Arabidopsis thaliana: one gene and its partner. The protein of the gene in region 1 interacts with the protein of each later gene in a pairwise test. Each region holds a gene or a part of one and is shown in the gene's direction. Other genes may lie near its edges.

Region 1 (6,117 bases):
ACAAAAATGTACATAAGTAGAAGTCAACAGAAAAAGGAGACACTTGGTTGGATCCGTAAGCATCTAAAAGACAATTTCAGACAATTTGGACCGACGCGGTTTCAACACAAGATAAGAGGAGTCGTGTCTTGTTTAATCAGTCAACGTTTACTCGACCCTTTCCTTCCTCTTTCCCTTTTCTCTACTTTCTTCCCCCAAATTTCTGTTCTAATATACGATAAAGATGTTTTTTGTTCCATTTATTAGTTTTGTTCCTAGTTTTTATTTATAATTTAGTAGTTTATAACTATTTAAAATGTGCAGTATTTTAATTTGTTATATTGGTTGATTTTTTATAAATGAGAAAATACTTGTTGTTTCTTAATCTTTGTGATTTTAGCCAAAACGTTTTTAAGAAAATGGGATAGAGGAAATATAATACAGCCTATTGCATGATGAAATGATACAACACGTAATCTTGATATGTTGTACAATATAAATATCCATATTGCCATATACTTAATAAAAAAATACAAGATGGGTTGTTATGTATTACTCCATAAATGTGCATATTTGGGTACGTACAGTCAACGTTGGATATCTGCCTAAAACATACAATGAATTTTATTTTCCTGTTAACCTCAAAATAAGTGGTACAAAACCAACGTGACAAGGACGACTATTAGAAAACGATAACAGTTAATGTAGTTAGGTATAATTCTAGTGTCTGAAACGATCTTTCCAATAAAATTATACTATTATGCATATTGTACTTTGTATTTTGCTAAGTAATTGTGAATCAAACGTAAGAACATTACTTTCCTCCTCTCTCCTCTGACTAATATAGGGCTTCTTACCGTACAGTCTTGTGGATGTGACTCAAAACATCTGTACAAGAAATTTGTGTATTTTCTCACTATTCTTGGTCCAATCTGAGTATTTCTATACAGTATAGTATAATTTTTTCCTTATTTTCGGATTTTCCATTCACTTTTGTTGGAATTTTTTTCCAGTTTAAGAGATACAGGAAAAAAGTTCTCCTCTTAATTACTCTAATTATTAAATTTACTAATCCTATTTCAATTCCTCTCATTTCCAGTATTTCAATCCACTGATCGTCCAATATGCAATATATTTTACCTTTTTAACACACAATGTTAGTTTCTTGACAGATTTGACTTTGAATTTTGGTGGAGATTAGTAAAAGAATTAAAGAAATATGTAGTGGAAATATAAAAAATAATGAACTGGGATGAGATTACACACCAGACACCACTTGCCAAGAGAACAACGGGCTCAGTCACATGGTCCTAAATTGACCATTTCCATAATATTAGCTGCCAACAAAATACATAAAATAAAAATACGGTTACTTTCATAACTCCCCTTTTAATTTATTAATATTTTAAAAATTAAGCAGACCTTAATTCATCATCTTTTAGTGCGTTACAAACTAACAGCGTTACAAATCTCTCTTAGTCCAAAAAATGTGACTAAAAGATTTCTCTTTTAAACCCTTAAAAATCTGGAATCAAAATCTTTTATATTTTCAAATTTTTTTGGAAACAAATAAGAATGTAGAATTCGATCAATATGAAAGAAAAATGAACGGTGTTAGATTTGCTTTGGAAATATGTAAACTAACAGTAATTAACTTGTTTTAGTCATTAGCAACTAATACAGTAATTAACTTGTTTAAAGTAAAATTAGAGCAACCTAGGAATATATGCTCAACTTTTTCGTTTTCTTCTAATTGTTAAAATAATGTTGTCATTGGCCAGTCGCCATTATACCTTTTTAACCCTTCACAGTCTCCCAGAAACCTCCCTTTCTCTTTGATACATTCTCTGTATATATATATATACGCGTATGCGTTTACACATTCTTTAAAAGTTTCAGATTCTAGATAAATTCTTTTCATTTGATTTGTTTTAGCAATTCGGACATTGTACAGAGAAATCAAGAATGGATTTGCAGAGAGGCTTTGTGTTCTTGTCTTTGGTTCTATCTTTTATGATAATCGAAACGACGGCGTATCGAGAGAGACAGCTGCTGCTGCTGCAACCACCGCAAGAAACGGCGATAGATACCGCAAACGCGGTGGTGACGGTTCAAGATCGAGGTTTGAAGACGCGGCGACCGGAGCATAAGAACGCATACGCAACGATGATGTACATGGGGACGCCAAGAGACTACGAGTTCTACGTTGCGACACGTGTTTTGATCAGATCGTTGAGAAGTCTTCACGTGGAAGCTGATCTCGTCGTCATCGCTTCTCTCGACGTTCCTCTCCGATGGGTTCAAACCTTGTAAGTCTCTCTTCCGACCATCTTAAACGCTGTCGTTTCGAAACTTGACCACCAAACTATTATTAGGCTGGAATATACAATTGCTATTAATTTTTAAAAATTTTTTTACAAAACATTCGTAATTTTCACTATAATGGCATCGTGCGTGAAACAGCAGGAGTTCTAAAAACAAATTCAAATGGTATTTTTCTATATATATCAACATTACTTATTTAAGCAAAGGGAAAGAAAAAAGTAAAGATAAGAATTGGTCCTTGTCTAGTTGTATTCTTGAATATATAAGCTAATATGAAAACAAATATATTTCAGTTTAGCTTATAGAAACAAATATTTTAAGAAGTTATAGTTGGCAGTGGCACAGACAGATACACCTTCCCTTTCCTCTACGTCCTTCCCTGGTTGGACTCTTGAGTCTTGATTCACTTTTTTCTCTTAGAAATTGAAGTTAGCTTAGAAAATTGTTCGAATGAGACAACGACCACCTTATTCATAGAAAATATCGAGACAAAAGCATATTAGTTTTTTTTATTCTATCGTTTTCTTTCTCTTGATTGGCTTCACGAATTAAAATGGAATTTTTTGAGTTCATTTTTTGACCTTACTATTTTGGTGTAAGTAAAAGTTGGAGAGAAACAAATGTTTGAGTATTTATGGTTGACAGACACTTAGACCAACGCATTTAACTCCATTATATCCTCTCCTATTGGTCCTATATAGTATATGACAACGCGCCTATCTGTATAGAAATATATTTGTGTTTTAAAAAATCAATTCTCAAAAACTCGTTAGGTGTCATCTAGTTTTGAAAAACTTCTTTTGTTTTTTTCATATTAAGTTTTTGATTAGTTTAGTATTTTTATAAGTTAAACAACAATTTTTAAAAACATATTTAATAGGCATGTAGGTGAATTAATCATTTGAGTTTCTATGGACAGATTAGACTAAAACTAAGTGGTCCGGATGGTATTAACCACCAAAACAATCCAGTTTTCAAAAATTTAGAAATAAACCATAGATTAAGTCAACAATTCATTATGCACCCAAAAAAGTTGAAACAGGCGTAGAGATAAAGAATATGGCAACTAAAAGCGATCGATAGCAATAATCTTATTACATTGAATTGAAATCATATTAACTTAAGGAGAGTTGTTTGACTTTAGCGTTTTGATTGAAACCTTTTGGAAACAAGAAAGAGCTGTTTTTTTGTGTCAAATTACTAATTTATGACCGGCCAATCTGCTGCATAGATCATGCAATAACGTCTACATCTCAACCTCATAGCCTATAGTAATAATTTTTGTGTCCTTTAGAGCACATCCGATAAGAAAGATAAACCTATAATAATTGAAAGCAACATTATTAGGACTTTACACAAGAACTTCATTTTCTGATATGATTCATAAGAATATATTTATTCTAAAAAACATGCATGCATAACTAGTTTGTTTGTACGATGTTTGTGTGTGTGAATACTAATGAGCCTCTTTGTGAGCAGGGAAGAGGAAGATGGAGCTAAAGTGGTGAGAGTTGAAAATGTGGATAATCCATACAGGAGACAGACCAACTTCAACAGTAGATTCAAGCTTACTCTAAACAAGCTCTACGCTTGGGCTTTGTCTGATTACGACCGTGTGGTCATGCTAGATGCCGATAACCTCTTTCTTAAGAAAGCCGACGAGTTGTTCCAGTGTGGGCGCTTCTGTGCGGTCTTCATTAACCCTTGTATCTTCCACACTGGTCTCTTCGTGTTGCAGCCATCAGTGGAAGTGTTCAAGGACATGCTCCATGAGCTACAAGTTGGAAGAAAGAATCCTGATGGAGCTGATCAAGGTTTTCTTGTCAGTTACTTCTCTGATCTTCTTGACCAACCTCTCTTTAGTCCTCCGAGTAACGGATCTGTACTTAATGGTCACTTGAGACTTCCCTTAGGCTACCAAATGGACGCTTCTTATTTCTGTAAGTAGTCTCTTAATTCTTCTCTCAAGATTTTGTCTATAATGATTAATGTTGGCTAATGTATTAACTTGTACTCTCAGATCTTAAGCTAAGATGGAACATACCCTGTGGACCAAACAGTGTGATTACATTCCCGGGAGCTGTTTGGTTAAAGCCATGGTACTGGTGGTCATGGCCTGTTCTTCCACTAGGTTTCTCATGGCACGAGCAGCGTCGCGCCACTATAGGGTAATTTTAAATTTTTAAATGATGACAACTCCCTCTTAAGCTCTGTATAGTGGCTAATAATAATGATCTTGCAATAGGTACTCAGCCGAAATGCCTTTGGTTATAATCCAAGCAATGTTTTACCTTGGAATCATAGTGGTTACACGACTAGCTCGTCCTAACATAACCAAGCTATGTTATCGCCGCTCTGACCGCAACTTAACAACGATCCAAGCTGGTTTTAAGTTGATCGCGCTTCTCTCTGTAGTTGCAGCCTACATCTTCCCATTCTTCACCATCCCTCACACTATCCACCCACTCATCGGCTGGTCGCTCTACTTGATGGCTTCTTTTGCTCTCTCTTCCATTTCAATCAACACTCTCCTCCTCCCAACGCTCCCTGTTCTCACTCCATGGCTAGGAATTCTCGGCACTCTCCTTGTCATGGCCTTCCCTTGGTACCCTGATGGAGTGGTCAGAGCCTTGTCAGTTTTCGCATACGCATTTTGTTGCGCACCCTTTGTGTGGGTTTCATTCCGCAAAATCACATCGCACCTCCAGGTTTTGATTGAGAAAGAGGTGTTGTTCCCGCGATTGGGAGACTCAGGGGTCACTTCAGGCTTCAGCAAATTGTATTAGGGAGTCTTTATTTGACATATTGTTTCTCTGTATATAAAGGATTATTATTGTTTCATTCACATTACATTTATATCAACTCACTCTAACCTTCTTTCTTTTACCTAGTCAAAGTATCAATTTCGGTAGCCTGATTTCATACTCTTCATTATTGTTTTTAACTCACTCTCTTGGATTTAAAGATTTGTAGCATGAAAAGTTAAAGAACACAAACAATTGAGCACACTCTGTTTTTCTCTCTGTTTTTTATTTGTGTCCCTCTTTGATTTTTCCTCTCTAGTTACAAAAGCCCCCTAGATCCAGGTCAAGCTGTGATGTAGCTAGAATAAAATTACAAGTAGAGACCATAGAGATTCCTTTGGATTATTATTAACTTGCCTACTAGACTTGTGATAGTATGCTTCATATAGAAAACTCCTAATTTGATGAAAAGTCTAGTCTATATTCTCTAGGGTTAGTACATTTTAAGATTAATAACGAAACCACCTTTCTCCATAGCTCCGAAACACACTTGTATGCACCTACTCATCACAGAAAGATATTGAACAAAATAATGAATCATTCACTAGAAAAACTGTAGACGAAGAATATTAAGAGCAAATTGTTTACCCATTTCTCCAAGTTTCACAGCTTTCGAATTAGGTTATCGCCGCCAAGTATAATAAATAGCGACATTTATTATAAGACGGCGAGTTTTCTTTGGGCCACTTCACCCATTGGGCTACCCATCAGCGAACTAGTCCAAATTTTTACAATATACGATCCATATATTGCTAGGTTTATTGGTCAATCACGTGTTATTGCATTTTAAAATTGTAATAAAGTTATTGTCTAAATCATCCGTTATATGTTTATTAGACTAGAATAAGAATTTAATTTCATATTTGGGTGGGTAGGGGGGGGGGGGTCCTTTTTCATGTATATAGTAAAAGCATAAAAATAAGTTATTAATTTTTAGTTGAAAAAAATAATTATTCTCTTATACCTTTTATGAACCAAATAATGAAAGTGTGTAGGTCTGTATATAAAG
Region 2 (3,775 bases), on another chromosome or scaffold:
TATGAAACTCACGATTAGAGCTCTGAACGTGAGCTGTTTTTGCCACGGCGGTGGGATTTCGTTACTCTCTTCGAAGATTCTCTCCACGGAGATTTCTTCTTCTTCGTTGGATTTAGATCCATTGTTTAGATCGTCGTCTTTCTTCGATCGTTCGACTTCCATAGCTGAGAGTTTTTGATTTGATTTGAGTCAGATCTGAGGAGGGGAACGAGAGAGGGAGAGATTTTATAGAGGAGAGGATCTGAAGAGAAGAGATCGGCGAGAGAAGAGGACGATTTTCTTGTAACTGAATGATTCTCTCTATTGTGTGAGTGAGAGAGAGAAGCGAATCTGTTTTAATATTTCTATATTTATAAGTCAAATGTGTTTTTTTTATAAATAATTAACCTACGTGCACGTGGACTATGGTGTGGTGTGTATACACAGTGTAAAATCTGAGTTTTTTCTTTGGTGTGGATTTAGAGTTAATTAAATTGATACGTAAATGGATTTTGGAATTTAGATTATGACATGTTTACGTGTTAAACGAGCCAATTATGACGGGTCGTAGATTGTATTAATCTTAACAGAATTAAGTTTTAGTTGCAAATGTGTTTTTTTGAAAAGAATTAAAATATTAAAATGAAAATACACGTAAATATTGTTTGAACATTTGATTTCAGAACAATAGTCGTTTATATAGTGAGTTGTTCTTCAAATTACTTTTAATTTCGGAGTACTTAACTATTAACCAATATTTTTTATAATTAAAGATTACAAGGGAATTTTACTTTTTCTACCACAATTTTCCCAAAAAAAAAATATTTCTATCGCTTTTCAATAGTACCAAATTATTTATGTGGAAAGACCAAAAAAAATAAAAACTATGTGTCCAAACGTTTACACCGATTTGACATTTTCATTTTTATGTTCTCTCACTACATTGTTAAAGACTCTAAACGTGAGCTGGCTTTGCCACGAAGGATGATCCTCATGGGCTCATGGCTGGCCTCAAAGATTCTATCATGTCATGTCGTGGCATTTGAGATCGTCATTTTTTTCCTTTATCGCTCTGTGACCGCTGCTAAATTTAAGTCTAACCTAGCTCTTTGTTTACAAGAAAGGAGAGGATTATTTTAAATAAGAGAAAAGTTGGAATATTCGAAAGTGTCGTGCTCTTATTCTATGGTACGAGACTATGAGTGACTAGATAGAATTTTCATTTAGATTCTCTAACCATAATAATTAGGTAAAAAAATCTTAGCTATTAATATTGACTAATAAATATAAAATGTGAAAGTTTGACTATACTATATTAATAAACAAATGGTTAACTTGATATTGACCATGAATGCATCATTAACTTGCTTAGAATAACAAAAATCTTATGAATTTATAACTACTAGAAGTTTGATTATATGCGAGGTGGGTTCAGACTATTCACATATTACACAAACTATTTGTGGTATTAGAACTTGTATAACTTGGACAAAATTCATATCAATTAACAATTAACCTATTGAAAATTAGATAAATAGAGAAATAAATCTATTGTTTGCTTATGTGAGTATAAATAATGAGATTTAGACTTAAAATAGTTAAGTCAAAATTAAATAATATTTTGGCACCTTTTATAAGAAAAGAAGATAAAAGGGACCTATATGATCAAATACAAAAGTAGAGGGGTTATTTCATAATAACACGTATCTTAGAAAATCTTTTTAATCTTCTTCGTTCACCGAATCTTCTTGGGTTAGGTTTGTCTTCAAAATCGTCAGAAGAAGAAGAAGAAGTCAAAGACGATAACAATGACGTCATCATCGTACCTCCGATTTGCGATCGCCGTCGTAGCTTTCCTCTCAATCACCACCATCACCACCGCACGTCCTTGCAAAACCTTCCTAATCTCCTCATATTCCCTCTCAATAACCCCAGAAAACCCTAACCTCGAATCCGATTTCACCTCCACACGATTCGTCACCGTTTTCACAATCCGTCGTCTAAATCCTCACCACGTGGTTCCTTTCTTCGTCAATCGTCGTCACGAGAAGCCACAGATCCAATCGGATCGTTCCCTCCCTTTGATCTCTGATAACATCAATTCGTTTAGAGATCGAACCAGAGATATTCTTAGCGTCGTCGTCGCGCTTTTGTTCGGTGTTGGTTGTGGTGCTTTAACCGCTGCTACTATGTATCTTGTTTGGGCTCTTGTTGTGAATCGTCAAAGCTATGATTTTGAGGAAGAAGAAGATGATTATGAGAATGATGAATCTGATGCTGCTAGCTTGAAGAAATTGGGTTATGTTAAGATTCCAGCTCCAGCTCCTGCTCCTGTGAAGGAAGCTGCTTGATTTGAGGTTGTGAATTTCAGTTTCTGCATATTATCATGATTTACGTTGTTGCTTATCTATGTTGTTGCGTACAAGTAAATTCGTCTCTGTTATGGATTTATCTAAACTTACTATACTCTAAGTATCAGTGTTTTTACGATTTGTAGTTGATGTTTCTTAGATATATATAAGTGTGATTATGATGTTACCTATGGATTTATTCATTATCTTTGATACCAATGTGACTAGTTTAGGAGCTTAATACTTAAATGGATTGATCATCAAAGGAACCAAGGTCGTGACTCGAGAAGTCTGTTTCTTGTTTTCTTTCTGACTTGCTAGAACCTAACTTGGTCGCAGGATATGTGTATGGTTCTCATAGCCCCATTTTGTGGTTTAATAGCTTTCATTCTTTCAAGCACTGATTAGCTAGAACCTAAGTAGGTCGCAGGATATGTGTCTGATTCTCGTTAACCAATCTGTGTTTTGAACAGCCTTCAAGCATTGGGAGTGTCTAGTTTTCTATTGCTTATGGTCATATGTGTGTATGGTTCTCATTGCCCCATTTTGTTGTTTAATAGCTTTCAAGCATTGCATACTTAAGGTAGTGTCTAGTTTCGGTTCCGTTTCTTGTAATCTTACTGACTAGCTAGTAGCTAGACTTTTTAAGTAGGTAGCAGGATATGGGGATGACTCTGGTTGACCCCAATCTGAGTTTTGCATAGCTTTCAGAGCATTGAGAGTGTCTAGGTTCTATTGCTTATGGTCATCTGTATATATGGTTCTTATTGCCCCATTTTGTGGTTTAATAGCTTTCAAGCATTGTGAACTTTAGGCAGTGTCTAGTTTCTGTTCTGTTTCTTGTTATATTTCTGACTACCTAGTAGGTAGACCCTTTTAAGTAGGTCGCAGGATATGTGGATGATTCTCATTGATACTAATTTCTGATTTGCATAGCTTTCAAAGCATTGAGAGTCTCTAGTTTCTATTGCTAATGGTCATCGTTGTGTATGTATATAGCTTAAAGGTTGATGTCTTGGATGCAGAGGAACAATTAAGTGCCTTATTCTCTCTAGTCTAGTAGTTATTTGCCTTGTAACAATCCTTTGTTATGTTACTATTTGATTTGAGGTTGTTTTATGTATGTAAAATCCAGTACCTAATTGTCTTGGTAATAGAATCTATAGATGTCTCAAAATCGGTCCGATTTTCGATTGTCAACACAAATGGTGCAAGATTTTGCTTTCTACATATATACTCTTTTCTTAAAAAACTACCTCAAAAGAACCTAATTGTCTTGGTACTCTTTTCTTAAAAAACTACATATATATTCAAAAAAACTACCTCAAAAGAAATTGTTTATCGTTTCTTTTTCAGTATTTTAGTTATCTGATAAAATAAAATAAAATTGTTTTTGGGTCCTCCACTATACATATGAAGAAACTTGCACATCACCATTCAGTTTG

What was found.
Region 2: the proteins of PGSIP7 (region 1) and AT1G65720 interact in a protein complementation assay, tested with the Arabidopsis thaliana proteins (one large-scale study listed by BioGRID).

The regions. Positions count from the first base shown.
Region 1 is NC_003071.7:15,009,898-15,016,014, reverse strand, and holds PGSIP7 (Nucleotide-diphospho-sugar transferases superfamily protein), read left to right. Parts: upstream 1-1,730; 5' UTR 1,731-1,944; coding exon 1,945-2,288; coding exon of another isoform or gene 2,289-2,292; exon of another isoform or gene 2,293-3,763; coding exon of another isoform or gene 3,764-3,783; coding exon 3,784-4,244; intron 4,245-4,324; coding exon 4,325-4,472; coding exon of another isoform or gene 4,473-4,476; exon of another isoform or gene 4,477-4,549; coding exon 4,550-5,090; 3' UTR 5,091-5,308; downstream 5,309-6,117.
Region 2 is NC_003070.9:24,439,026-24,442,800, reverse strand, and holds AT1G65720 (uncharacterized protein), read left to right. Parts: upstream 1-1,727; 5' UTR 1,728-1,787; coding exon 1,788-2,330; 3' UTR 2,331-3,149; downstream 3,150-3,775. Other genes in the region: YSL7 (YELLOW STRIPE like 7), read right to left, coding at 1-162.